Linked DNA regions of Saccharomyces cerevisiae S288C. Changing the gene in region 2 together with the main gene of any one other region gives a genetic interaction. Each region holds a gene or a part of one and is shown on either strand. Other genes may lie near its edges.

What was found. Genes that interact genetically often act in the same process or in processes that back each other up.
Region 1: mutations in EAF5 (region 2) and CSF1 together harm fitness more than expected from each alone (negative genetic interaction), as found in Saccharomyces cerevisiae (6 studies listed by BioGRID, with this or other methods).

Annotation. Positions count from the first base shown.
Region 1 is NC_001144.5:310,388-317,281, forward strand, and holds the start of CSF1 (Csf1p), read right to left. Parts: upstream 5,345-6,894; coding exon 1-5,344. Other genes in the region: GPI-anchor transamidase subunit GAA1, read left to right, coding at 5,720-6,894. UniProt on the Saccharomyces cerevisiae protein: Tube-forming lipid transport protein which provides phosphatidylethanolamine for glycosylphosphatidylinositol (GPI) anchor synthesis in the endoplasmic reticulum. Required for the glucose and other nutrients uptake at low temperature.
Region 2 is NC_001137.3:117,225-124,868, reverse strand, and holds EAF5 (Eaf5p), read right to left. Parts: upstream 3,399-7,644; coding exon 2,559-3,398; downstream 1-2,558. Other genes in the region: nucleotide diphosphatase/phosphodiesterase NPP2, read left to right, coding at 1-132; GTT3 (Gtt3p), read right to left, coding at 199-1,212; PMP2 (proteolipid ATPase), read left to right, coding at 1,940-2,071; SUMO ligase MMS21, read left to right, coding at 3,568-4,371; PXP1 (putative indolepyruvate decarboxylase family protein), read left to right, coding at 4,570-6,252; protein transporter TIM9, read right to left, coding at 7,395-7,644. UniProt on the Saccharomyces cerevisiae protein: Component of the NuA4 histone acetyltransferase complex which is involved in transcriptional activation of selected genes principally by acetylation of nucleosomal histone H4 and H2A. The NuA4 complex is also involved in DNA repair.

The sequences.
Region 1 (6,894 bases), on a different chromosome or scaffold from region 2:
AACATGACAAGACTGTATTAATTTTCTGGTCGACAAATTGGGACTTTTTCTTTGATTTAGGTTTAAACTTTATGCGCTCTTTAATCATCATCAGACTTTCCCTAATTTCAGTAATAGCGGTTACTAATTGCTCAGTTGAACTCATTGCTCTAAAATGAAGATCTGCGCACTGGTTGTTTATCAGAATCGTAGGCTTGTGTGACCATGCCTCAGTAGTCGCTAAAACTGAAAAGTCGCGCAGTTGAGCTTCTCCCAAAATGACAGATGTGTGTTTTAACCACACTTCCGATTTCTGGGAAAATATAACCAATGAACCCGCTTGACTAGTTGAATCTTTTAGATTTTCCCATAGTAAACTAACTCTACCCCCAACTGTTCTACTCATCAGCTTCGTTTGGTCCATGACCAGTTGCAGTTCACTTTTATCCACTAATAAAACGGTGTTCATTTTGAATTGCTTTGATAACTCCTTTTTTGGATCACTTTTGTCATCTTCGCCCACTGCTGCAATGAGTGGAATAAGATCTTGCAATTTAAGTAACCTATCACTGAATTTTCCTTTTACTGAGCCTACTCTTCCCGTAATTTCAATAGTTTCTTCTCGATTTGAAGGTAAGCTTGTCACCGGAGGCGTCAAATCCACTACCAGATTGGCATCCGCAACAACAAAATTATGCTCAACCTCATATCCCTCACCATAAACAGTAAGGTAAAATGATCCCATGGTACACTTCAACAATTTTTTAATCAAATTTTGTTTATGTTTCTCATTTTCTGCCGTGAATAATTTGCCGTATATATACGACCTTGCAACATCTGAGAACTCCCAATTTCTCCAAGTCGAAAACACAGACATGAAGATATTTTTTGCATCTTTAGCAGAGGTATATTTCTTTTCTTTTAGCACTTCGTCGATGTTGCTTTGCCAATCATCAGGAAGGTACGTTAAAATGTGTCTCAGACGCGTAATAATTTTCCAACTACGATTCTCACGCACATGCCCTTTGGAAAGTCTCATAATAAAAGCAGGTTTTGTTATGACGTAAGGATCATGACTAATTTGATAATATTCGCTTGCGGCTGTGAGCTTTGAAATGAGTTCTGTCTTTGAATTACTTCTGGTGTTCTGAATAGAATTAAAAGAAGTGCAAACCTCTTGAATAAGATTTCCCTGGTCACTACAGTACTCAAACAGCCATTCCATTTGAGATTCGTCTATGGTAATATCTGATGACGTTAAGTTTAATGAGTTAACTTGTCTATCTTCTGTAGAAGACCATACTTCGAAACCCTCAATCCCTAGCGACAGTGCAGGGGGACGATCTTCAGACAAGTCTGGATTTTTCTTCTGGTTAACAGTCACTCTGACAGTTTTTACCTTTGCTAAAGCTGCTACTTCTAATAATTTATTTGTTCGGTTCTTCTCTAGAGACTTTTCACTCATTTGATAATCAATACGATCTAAATAGAGCTCAAAACCTTCCTCACCTGTCTCTTGCCAGATTAAATTTAGATAAGCAATATGGATATCAATGTTTGAAATAGAAGTGATCCCTTCTTGAAGGTTGCTTAATCGTTTCACAATCCCAATTTCAATATCGTCTAAGACTTGTACCATGTTTTCAGAGTAAAGCTGTTCTAATAAACTCTTAGCGAAAATAAAAAGCAACGGGTCGACATCCAACAGAATATATGAAACATCAACAACATAGTTATCCCTTTCGTGGTTTCTGTCTTCTGTAAAAGCGACAGGTTTGAAGCTTGAAGGGTCCGCTTCTTCGTCATTATCATCTTCACTGAAGCTGGCTCTTGAAGGCTCCATAGTTGATGGAGTTTCTGCGAATATGTTCTTGAATGGATTTGTGGTCTCCAGAAGGGTAGCATACTCGCCCACAATATCTTCAATGATATAATCTATAGTATCAGGCAAAGTGGGAAGAGGTAAAGTTGGGATAGACGAAGATGGTGCTATAGCCCCGTACAGGTTTTGGTATGTATCCGAATCCTGATAGAACAGCGGAAGAAGAAAAGGACACCTATGATAGGGTGAATCGTGTATTGTTATATATCTGCGTTGTTCTGATCTTTTTTTATCGATATCCTTGTATTGCTCAAAGTTTGTAAATCTTAATTTTGTTTCGAATTTGAGAAATGATGTGTCTACGCCATCGCCCATCACGCAATTTAACGAAATTGTCAATTTTGGAATTTTCACGTCTATTCTTTGTGAATATTTTTCGTTTTCAAAGTCGATCAAAGTAAACAATATCGATTCAGCACTAATAACTGATTGAGATTTCATCACCGGATCTTTAAGGCCTATTCTTATTTTTTCAACGTGCACGGTTAGCGAGGTCATATCATTAATGGTCTCAGTGTCATATAATAATATATTTTCCAAGTCATTGTAGCCAAAACCTATCTTATAAAAGGAATTAAAGAATCCCTTTATAAATTCAATATCTGAATCAATGCATAAATCTCCGAGATTGATATCCCATTGACAAAAGTAGGTAGGTTCTGTGGGTGGTAATCCATACATTCTATGTCCATGAATGGTGAGGTCCGAAAGCAATCCGTGCTCTTGCTCATCAGCTCCGTTATTACGACGTATAAAATCAAATACTTCATTTATTTGTTTTGAAACGTGCCGCTTTATTGAAGTCCCGTTGAGAACCGCCATTATGTCCATATAATAATTACAACTTCTGAAATCCACTACAAGTTCGGCAAAATGTAGTGCAATGCATGGATCAAAACTGTAAATCGTTTCTGGTAATATCAGAGCACCATCCCAAACCGAAAATGTGAACCAAATATCAGTTTCGTTGGTAGTCCTTTTCAAATCTGACCTTTTCATAGGACCTTTATCCTCAGATTCGTTCTTTAGACTGCTATTTTGGTACCCTGAATCTACAGTAGATGCCAAATCTGCCACCGAGCTTTTCGTAGTGACATCTCCGACTTCCCTAGCGCCAAGGACACCTGTGTACTCTTCTGACGTCACAAAATTAAAAAATTCACCGAAGTAATTCATCTTTACGTTTGTTAAATACCTCATGACAAACCCATAGCAGTGAAGTACTGTACTCTTGCTGTTACACTCTATGACTAGCGTATCGACATTATCAATATCTAACTCGGAATAGAGAAGGTAAGAACCTTTAATTGTAAAGTCGTATGCTCTCCCCACTTCTTTATGTTTCATGAATTCGTTCAATGTATTCCAAGGGGGGGTATTTAACATCATTCTGAACATTGGAGTTGAGATCTCGTAGGACATATCTGTGTATGTCCCCAAAATACTCTCACGGGGTACCGTGACATCAATTGAAAGCTTATCACCATGAAGGGATAAATAACAGTTTTCGTTAAAATCTAACGGATTGTTAACAATATTGTGATCATTGACGTTTAAGTAAATGGAATATCCTTCCATTTCCCAATTGACTTTGTATACGAATGGTCTAAAAAGTTCGTAAGGCGTAGGATCACCAGCGGAAAAGTCTGAAAGCGTATCTGCAACTAAAGTTATATGCTCACGTAGCAGAAACGCCTCTAATTGTTCTGACTTCATGTTAATTATCCATATAGCTTTGCTATTCCAACCCAATGGATATCCAATATCCCCATCAATATCGAATACCTTGCTTTTTAACAAAATATCGTGATTAACACTTGACCTAATTTCGGTTTCCAGGAAATGAACATGGAAATTATTCTGAAAACCTTGCACTGTAGGACAAACACTTATATTGAAATTTGCATAGGTGTCCTTACAAAATCGGAGATCCATCCATCCAAATGGCCTATATTCTTCATTAGTTTCTTTGTAGTGTTTCAAAAATTCGGGGTCTTTGCTACTTTCCCTCGTCGGTATACGCCAAGTAGTATCTTCCATTATTGATATATTCATCCTGAAAAGTGTATATATTCTTCTAGAACCTGGCGGGAGTTTTTTTATAGGTTTGGCTGTCCTTGAAACTACCGGTGATAGAACTCTTTGTAGATGACTGACTTGTCTTTGAGCCCAAGGTCCGTAACAGATGGATCCTCCGTGAATTTGAACATCTAAAGCAAAATCTGGAGGTGCTCCGTTATTGCCCACATCTGGTCCATCAATATCAGGTATTGTCGGATGTGCACCATGTGGCACAACGCCCGGAACATCCACGTCATATGCAATTGTGACCTTTGGGCATTTTAAAATTGATGTAAATTTAGCATATTCATGGTTCGTCAAATCGAACTCAACATCATCTAAATCACTTGCTTTAGCGTCGCCCGCAGAAGCCTTATAAAGAGATAAACCTTTCCATTTATGATAGAAATTGTCATCTGATGTGCCTGCGCTTTTTTTAGTCTTTTTCGGTACAACAGGCTTGGTTACTATCTGAAAGACTCGTACAAACGTTTTCCATAACTTTGACACTTTCCCTCTATCTATTTTAAACTTCAATCCAATAGCATCATCGTAACCAATATTTTGTTTGATAGAAATTTCGAAGTTTTTGAATTCCATCTGTGTTTTATTTCTGTATAAATCTAATCGCTCTTTTGGAGGTAAAACATCTATTATGCCTTTTCCACTTTCATAACTTAGAATCATAACAGATGGCGTGAATTTGTTTCCTAACAGTAGGGAACCGCGGCTAAATTTAAGCTCAATTGGTAAAAACATCAGTAGCTTTGGATGTTTGCCGATATCTGTTTCTTGGTAGTCCCTGTCATTAACAATTGATGCATCAGAGTTCGTTGTGTATGCAGATTCGCTTAGATCTTCATCTAATTTATCAGCACTACTTCCATCGCTAAAAGGTTCAGGAAAAGAATGCTCATTAAGGTATTTTTCAAATTTATCGCGTTCATCTTTTGATAGTAAGTTTATAACATTATCGTACGCCACTGTTCTGTTGTAAATAAAAATTTCTAGACCTTCACATTCTACGGAAATTTTACAGGGAAGCTTTGCTTTTTTGCCAGAAGAAGACTTGTTATTCTCTATCAATTCTGCTTTTCTGCAATTTAAAAGCCAGTATTTCCATGTTAAACTACCCTCTAATACCGAAATTGTATAATCTTTGTGTATTACGGAAAGGTTTTTAAAATGTATTCGACCACCTAGTAAGGAGACACGAAGTGTCTCAACATTTATCTTGATTTTCGCTCGTTTCCATAGTAGCCATTCTAATATAAAACTTACAAGGTATGCATAGATTCTTCCCATGTAGAATATCATTGTCAAACATACTACTACCGTGAGAATCCAATCTACTAAAAAGACCCAGCTAAAGTCCTTTTGGTGTGTCAATGGAACACCACGTAATTGTGAAATAGCTTCCATGCTTGCTAACTTATTACCGTCAATAGAAGACTTGAGTCAGGTGGCTTTAATGAGTACTATTCTTTTTTTTTTTCCAAAGAGCACTATGTTGATAATACCGCAGTAATTTTTTTTGAGTATCCTGTAGCCTAGAAAGGTTGAAGCTTATAAAACCGTGCCAACAGCTTTATAGTGGGGAGTTTGGCTTCCCTCTATTTGTATATTGATCGCCATCCCTACGAAGTTATTGGGAACGCATCGTGAACCTCTCACTTTAATGCCAGCGGTAGAAAAAAAAGTCATAAACAATACACGCCGGCTACACTTAGAAAGAAATGACATTTGCTGTCTTATAAAAGGACTTGACAGACCAAAGACGCGTATAATACACCAAGAATGGCCTTATTGGAGAAGTTGCATCGAAGGATTGTTGATATGGGGCTTGTCCCGCGTATAATCGCCTTATTACCAGTTATTTCCATGCTATGCGCTCTATTTGGGTTTATTTCTATAGCTATTCTGCCTATGGATGGACAGTACAGAAGAACATACATTTCTGAGAATGCATTGATGCCTTCACAAGCGTATAGTTACTTTAGAGAATCTGAATGGAACATTTTGAGGGGCTATCGATCTCAAATTAAAGAAATGGTAAACATGACTTCTATGGAAAGAAACAATTTGATGGGTTCTTGGTTACAAGAATTTGGTACTAAGACTGCTATTTACGAAAATGAACAATATGGAGAAACATTGTACGGTGTAATGCACGCTCCTAGGGGTGATGGAACAGAAGCGATGGTGCTTGCCGTTCCATGGTTTAATTCAGATGATGAATTCAATATTGGCGGCGCAGCTTTGGGTGTATCTTTAGCAAGATTTTTCTCACGTTGGCCAGTATGGTCCAAGAATATAATTGTTGTCTTCAGCGAAAATCCTCGTGCAGCATTAAGATCATGGGTTGAGGCATACCATACTTCCTTAGATTTGACTGGTGGTTCCATTGAAGCTGCTGTTGTGTTGGATTATTCGAGTACGGAAGATTTCTTCGAGTATGTAGAAATCTCATACGACGGTCTGAATGGTGAGCTGCCCAATTTGGATCTTGTCAACATCGCTATATCCATTACGGAACATGAAGGTATGAAAGTTTCTTTGCACGGTCTACCCAGTGATCAGTTAACTAATAATAATTTCTGGTCAAGATTAAAAATATTATGCCTGGGAATAAGGGATTGGGCGTTGTCCGGTGTTAAAAAGCCCCATGGTAACGAGGCATTTAGCGGCTGGAGGATTCAATCTGTAACATTGAAAGCACATGGAAACAGTGGTCATGATATTACTACATTTGGACGTATACCCGAAGCAATGTTTCGCTCTATTAATAACCTTTTGGAAAAATTTCACCAATCGTTCTTCTTTTATTTGTTATTAGCACCACGTCAGTTCGTATCCATTAGTAGTTATTTGCCAAGCGCTGTGGCTTTATCTATAGCATTCGCCATAAGTTCATTAAATGCATTTATAAACAATGCTTATGCAAATATATCCTTATTTTCCGAGTATAATTT
Region 2 (7,644 bases):
GGAATGGGTCCGATGTTCAACAATGAAGTCGTACCTCCATTTGAAAACATCGAAGTATACAATATGCTGATCAAGGCAAGTGCGCTTTTGGGAGAAGAAAAGACAAAGAAGGAGAAGAGTTTATTACAATAATACAGAGTAGTAAATACACACTTCGCGGCTTACGTACGCGTGTGTATACGTATGTAAGAAAATATACTATAATACGTATAGAGTGAGGAGACAACTAACCATGGAGAATACTAGAGGTACCATACCAAGGGAACGGTTCACTGTACAGAGTTGTGTCCATAGTTGGTTAACACATCGAAAAGAATGGAAATCTATGTTTTTATTATTACAAGTTTTGAAGATTGCCAAAGAAATCAAGAATTTCGTGAGATTGAAAGTCATCGGGTCCAACTCGATGTTCAGGTCGTAGCGGATGAAGTTGATGTAGTATGACACTAACGTTGGAATACCCCTAAAGAAGAGCAGCCACGTGAGTATTGGTAAACAGAAATCGAGCGTGTATTGATATTTATTATGGGCGGCAACGGCGGCTTCCAGCGACGATGCGAGCGAAGAAGAAGAAGTTGGCTGCCCGGCGGCTAATATGTTTCTCACCAGAAAAGAGAATTCCAACAAGGAAAAAATCGTATCGACGGCGGAAATAGTGGAAAGATAGTCCTGAACATTTTCATTCAATTTCTGCGTTTGGTATCTAATATCGGAGAGGTATTCCTGAAAGTTAAACTTGAACTTAGTAAACGCAGAGGTGGACGAGTCGTTATCTGTGCTAAAATCCAACAAATTGAAGTTCGTTTTGGCGTTTGAATTTGCATTCCTGCTGGAAAGCGGCTTTGTCGCGCTTGTTTCATCGCCTGATTGCGGTTTCTCATCATCATCCTCCTTGATGTACGCTTTCTCCAGATCGGAATCATTTGTGGCGGTGTCACAGGATCCAGACCCAGACCCGTTTCCAGATCCGGATCCGTATTCGTTCCGTTCATCCTTTGACTGGTCCACTGTCATCGACTCATAAAAGGACCTTAGTTCCGGGTAGTCGTCTTTAAAATCCACAGGTTTCTCAAGATGATTCAAGTGCGATTCGAGGTAATCGATCATATCACTCTTCTTGGCATAATTGGGGAAGCCGTCAATTTCCAGCTTGTTGGCCAGGTCAATTAGGTCCGCCTTCTTCCAGCGACTAAAAGTTGACTTGGTCGGCATATTGTATTATAATGATCTGTGATGGGCTGTAATGCACTTTCACTTTTGTTTTCTCCCCTTGTATATAGATATTTTCGCACGTTGTTTACGTATTGTGTAGTTCTTTTTGTTATGAGTGACGAATGCACGCAAGTAGCGCGCAGGAAATTATCATCATATACGTATATCATCATATACGATTTACCACTTTTAGCACATTAACAGCTCGGGAAAGAGTTTCGGAACTCGGAAAAAGCACGACAAACGAGGGCGAGCCACTAAATTACCGCAATCCTACGACCACAGCAGCCCGGGCCCTCTCCAAAACCGCGCTCTAGCCCGCTCTGCTTACTCCCTGTGCAGCGCCGCCCGCGGTAGCACTGGCCAACACCCTGACGCAACTCGTCACCACGCTGTTGAGCTGTTTTCGAAATCCGTCCGCAGCCCTCCCTAGCTTTTGCATCAAAAAAAACCTCTCGCTATTTTTCCGGCGCGGATACTTAATTTCCTTAACGAATTACAGAACTTTTTTCTCTCTTTCTCTTCCACACCTTTTGGTTTAAATAAACAGTGAAAAAAACTAAAATTCCGTAATCACAACTCAATTTCCTTTCCTTCCTCTTGGTTAATATAAAATCAATTCTTCTTCCCTTCCAGTTTTTTCTCTTTCGTCCTTCCTTCTTCCTTTCTCTTTTTCTCCATCGTATACATACAAAACAATAAATAGTACAATAACAATTATACAAAGATGTTGATGAGCACGTTACCAGGTGGTGTTATCTTAGTTTTTATTCTAGTCGGTTTGGCTTGTATCGCCATCATTTCTACCATTATCTACAGAAAATGGCAAGCTAGACAAAGAGGTTTACAAAGATTCTAAGCGATCACTAGCAAGCCAAACGAGCTTGATGTTGTTTTCTCTTAGTTATCCTCTTTTTTTTTTTTTTTTCAATTACTGAATATTAATGAATAAATTAGACCTCTTTTCTCCCCAACCCTTTTAATTTCTAATAATTAATTAATTTTTCCTGTGTGTGTGCTATATTCCTACTTTGTATCTGTGCTGTTCGATTCCTCTGTTGGAACGATGTGATTTGCGTGGGCGTTTTATCGCAAAAAAGTTTTGGGCATGCGGGCGTGAATGGATGTTGTTTGCCGTGTGTGGGCAAATACACCCTGCTCTTCGTTTTGTTTGTCCCGTTCTTTCCCATTTTTACCTACCTACTATGTTTTTTTTTGAGAAACATGTCGCTTCATTTGTTATATATTGTTCTGTTAAAGAATTGTGTGTGTATTTTTTTAATAAAATAGTATATAATAGTAATGTTACAAGACTTTAGATTTTCGAAGTGTCGCCTACTATCTCCTTACTCTAGTGCTCTTCTCATGAACTGCACCGTATCATCCAATTCAAACTGCACTTGTCTAGCCAATTTCCAGTCGTCCGTACCAATGACCTTTCGCATTACACCGTCCGTTATGCTCTTTTGAAGAATCAGCTGCAGTTCATGAACGCTGCCGGGCGTTTCGTTCTTTATGTCTTCGTAATTTATCTCATTCTTGATAATGCTACCATCGGGACTCTTGAATAGCTTCTGAAAATTCCCAGTTTTACTTTCCAATTTATTCAGAACGGTATCTCTGTATAATTTCAATAGTTTTTCTCTTTTTGGGTCCATTGAATGCGCCATGTGTGGCGTAGTCGTAGTTATAGTAGCACTGGTACCAGCAGATCCACTTTTGCCAGCATTTGCATGTGGTTGCAGTTGCGATGCACCGGTCTTTATACCGTTCTTCAATATCTCATCCTCCATCATCCTTATTTGTTCGACCTGCGTTTTCTTGAATCGATCGTACTTTTCGTCAAGGAGCTTCTCGATATCATGCATTTCCAAACCGTGTAGACTAAGTTGTCCATCGTTTAGTGTTGTTCTGTACTCTGGGAATAAATTCTTAACTATGGTCAGGATATCGTTGATGCCCAGTTTCCTGTTTCCATTTGCCACGTTGCTTTGCCTTCTTAAATTTGTCAGCTCGTTGATTAGCAAATTGTTTTGTATTTCGTTAGTCAACTTGACTAGCGATATTCGAAGATTATTCCCAATCATGTTGATTCCTCCCCCGTTCCTAACCAGTTCTTCATTCTTGTTGGAAATTAAAGTGTGTATTAGCTGCAACACTACCAATTCACTTACCTCTTTATCCATCTATGCGTTCCTTTGATTCTGGTTACTCCGGCACGCAGAAGTATCTTTTTACCAGTGCTTCTCTGGTTATTTTCTTCCTCTTTTCCTGTGTAGAAAAAAACTTGCTAAAATAATCGTGTCAGTTAAAGAAACCAAGGCAAGACTATATAAAAAAAGAATAACTTTAAAAATGGCCTTGAACGATAATCCTATACCCAAGTCAGTTCCTCTACACCCAAAATCAGGTAAGTACTTCCATAATTTACATGCCCGAGACTTATCAAATATATATCAACAATGCTACAAACAAATTGATGAGACCATAAATCAATTAGTGGATTCTACATCTCCTTCCACCATCGGCATTGAAGAGCAGGTCGCAGATATTACTAGCACCTACAAACTCCTCTCGACATACGAATCGGAATCCAACTCATTTGACGAACATATTAAAGATTTAAAAAAAAATTTCAAACAATCCTCAGATGCCTGTCCGCAAATCGACCTTTCTACCTGGGATAAATATCGTACCGGAGAACTCACCGCTCCCAAATTATCTGAATTATATCTAAATATGCCCACACCAGAGCCTGCAACCATGGTTAATAACACAGATACACTCAAGATACTAAAAGTGTTGCCGTACATATGGAATGATCCAACTTGTGTAATACCGGATCTGCAAAACCCCGCAGACGAAGACGATCTACAAATAGAAGGTGGTAAAATTGAATTGACTTGTCCTATCACCTGCAAACCTTACGAAGCACCATTGATATCAAGAAAATGTAATCACGTCTTCGATAGAGACGGCATTCAAAACTATTTACAAGGATACACGACAAGAGATTGCCCGCAAGCAGCGTGTTCTCAAGTCGTTTCAATGAGGGATTTTGTAAGAGACCCTATTATGGAACTAAGGTGTAAGATCGCCAAGATGAAAGAATCTCAGGAACAGGATAAAAGAAGTAGTCAAGCCATCGATGTTTTATGAAAACAAAATTATTGTTTCTCTTATCCGAGCCCTTCGGCCCGAAGTTCAAGCAAAGCTAACTAAAGAAAAAAGTTGGAAATTTACAAAAGGTTGGTATATAACCACATTATATATAAAGGAAAAAAAAGGCATTGGTTACTTTTATGTGATAAGAAGAATATACTCTCTACATTCAAACCGTCACAACCATCCATCAATATGACCACGACCGCTACCCAACACTTCGCTCAACTTTTACAAAAATATGGCATCGACACAGTCTTTGGAATTGTGGGCATCCCTATTGTCCAACTAGCGGATACGATGGTTGCCAACGGTATCAAATTCATTCCATGCAGGAACGAACAGGCTGCCTCATATGCAGCCTCTGCTTATGGTTATATTAGTGATAAGCCCGGCGTGTTACTTATTGTCGGGGGCCCCGGTTTAATCCACGCACTGGCTGGTATATACAACTCAATGAGTAATAGGTGGCCTCTTCTAGTAATTGCAGGGAGTTCTTCTCAAAGTGATATACATAAAGGCGGGTTTCAAGAGTTGGATCAAGTTAGTCTTTTGTCCCCATTTTTGAAGTTTACCGGAAAGTTAACCCCTGACAATATTGACATGATTACTCAGAAGGCTTTGAATTACTGTATACAAGGCACTGCAGGGGTTTCTTACATAGACGTCCCTGCAGATTTTATTGAGTATGAAAAACCCTTAGAAGGAAACGACCGTACAGGAAATGAATTACCGATGATATTAACTCCAAACATATGTGGCCCTGATCCGTCGAAGATCAAAAAAGTCGTACAGCTTATTTTGCAACATAAAAATAAAAATATTCTGATTGTTATTGGAAAGGGTGCGGTAAAAAACTCACACGAAATCCGCAGACTAGTAAATACGTTCAATCTACCATTTTTACCCACCCCAATGGCTAAGGGAATTGTCCCAGACTCTTCTCCACTGAACGTTTCATCTGCAAGATCTCAAGCATTGAAAATAGCGGATATTGTTCTTGTTCTCGGGGCAAGATTAAACTGGATATTGCATTTTGGTACTTCACCCAAATGGAACTCAGAATCCATATTCATCCAGTTCGATTCCAATCCCGAAACCTTGGGGGATAACAATGTCTCACCTGGTGCTGACCTTTCCATATGGGGAGATATAGGCTTGAGCGTAACCGCTTTAGTTGAGGAATTGACTCGCCAAGATTCCTGCTGGAAGTATAGTGGTGTTAAGCAAGAAATACGAGAGAAAATTCAACTGAATCAAACTCGTCTATTGAGGAAAGAGAAGACTAGAGGGGCACAATTGAATTACAACCAGGTTTATGGAACATTGAGGCCTCTTATCGATGATTACAGGACAATACTTGTGACGGAGGGAGCAAATACTATGGATATTGCGCGTATTTCATTCCCTACAGACGCTCCAAGGCGCCGTTTAGACGCAGGGACCAACGCGACTATGGGGATTGGGCTCGGATATGCTCTTGCATGCAAGGCATCTCATCCGGAACTCGATGTGGTGCTGATTCAGGGTGATTCCGCATTTGGATTCTCTGCCATGGAAATTGAAACGGCAGTAAGGTGTCAGCTGGCATTGGTCATCGTTGTGATGAACAATAGCGGTATTTACCATGGAGAAAAGGATATAGAGGGTGATTTACCTCCAACGGCACTAAGCAAGAACTGCCGTTACGATCTCGTAGGCAAAGGACTGGGTGCCAATGATTTTTTTGTCAACACAATAAGCGAACTGAGCAGATGCTTCCAACAAGCCGTGCAGCTTTCTCGGACTAAAAGAGAAACAAGTGTCATCAACGTTATCATTGAGCCTGGCGAACAAAAGCAAATTGCCTTTGCCTGGCAGAATAAACCGCGTTTATAGTAAATATGCATGTATATATATATATATATATATATATATGTTCATCTCTCTTATAGATGTCAATCTAAATACTTACAACACACATTAATGAATACCTCGTATACGTTTAAGGGCAAATGTACTCTCGCAGAAGGAAATATTGCAAGTAACTTGGATAACTAAAGCCGAGTTAAAGATCTGCCAATTGAACATAACATGGTAGTTACATATACTAGTAATATGGTTCGGCACACATTAAAAGTATAAAAACTATCTGAATTACGAATTACATATATTGGTCATAAAAATCAATCAATCATCGTGTGTTTTATATGTCTCTTATCTAAGTATAAGAATATCCATAGTTAATATTCACTTACGCTACCTTTTAACCTGTAATCATTGTCAACAGGATATGTTAACGACCCACATTGATAAACGCTAGTATTTCTTTTTCCTCTTCTTATTGGCCGGCTGTCTCTATACTCCCCTATAGTCTGTTTCTTTTCGTTTCGATTGTTTTACGTTTGAGGCCTCGTGGCGCACATGGTACGCTGTGGTGCTCGCGGCTGGGAACGAAACTCTGGGAGCTGCGATTGGCAGTGGAACAGTGGTAATTCCTACGATTAAGAAACCTGTTTACAGAAGGATCCCCACCTATGGGCGGGTTATCAGATATTATCAGGTGGGAAATTCGGTGGAACACAGTGGAGCCTTGTCCTCCGGGTTAATGTCGCTTTTGGCATTGGCCCCTGCTCCTGAGAGAAGAAATATACTGGGGAACCAGTCTTTACCGACCGTTGTTATCAGAAATTCACGGAGTTCGGCCTAGGTCGGACTCCGATGGGAACGGCAACGGTTGTTCCGTTTGACTTGTCGCCCGCTACGGCGTGAGCGTCAAGGTCTGTTGAGTGCAATCGTAGGACGTCATTAGTGGCGAACCCGATACCGATTACTGCTGCTGTTCCAGCCCATATCCAACTTCCAATTTAATCTTTCTTTTTTAATTTTCACTTATTTGCGATACAGAAAGAAAAAAGCGATAGTAACTATTGAATTTTGTTTGGATTTGGTTAGATTAGATATGGTTTCTCTTTATATTTACATGCTAAAAATGGGCTACACCAGAGATACATAATTAGATATATATACGCCAGTACACCTTATCGGCCCAAGCCTTGTCCCAAGGCAGCGTTTTGTTCTTGGAAACGCTGCCCTACACGTTCGCTATGCTTCAAGAACTTTTCTGAGCACTTCATGATGCATGTTTGTTCCTTATTGGTTAGCTTTGATGTTGTGAAGTCATTGACACAGTCTGTGAAACATCTTTCTACCAGATTAGAGTACAAACGCATGAAATCCTTCATTTGCTTTTGTTCCACTACTTTTTGGAACTCTTGTTGTTCTTTGGAG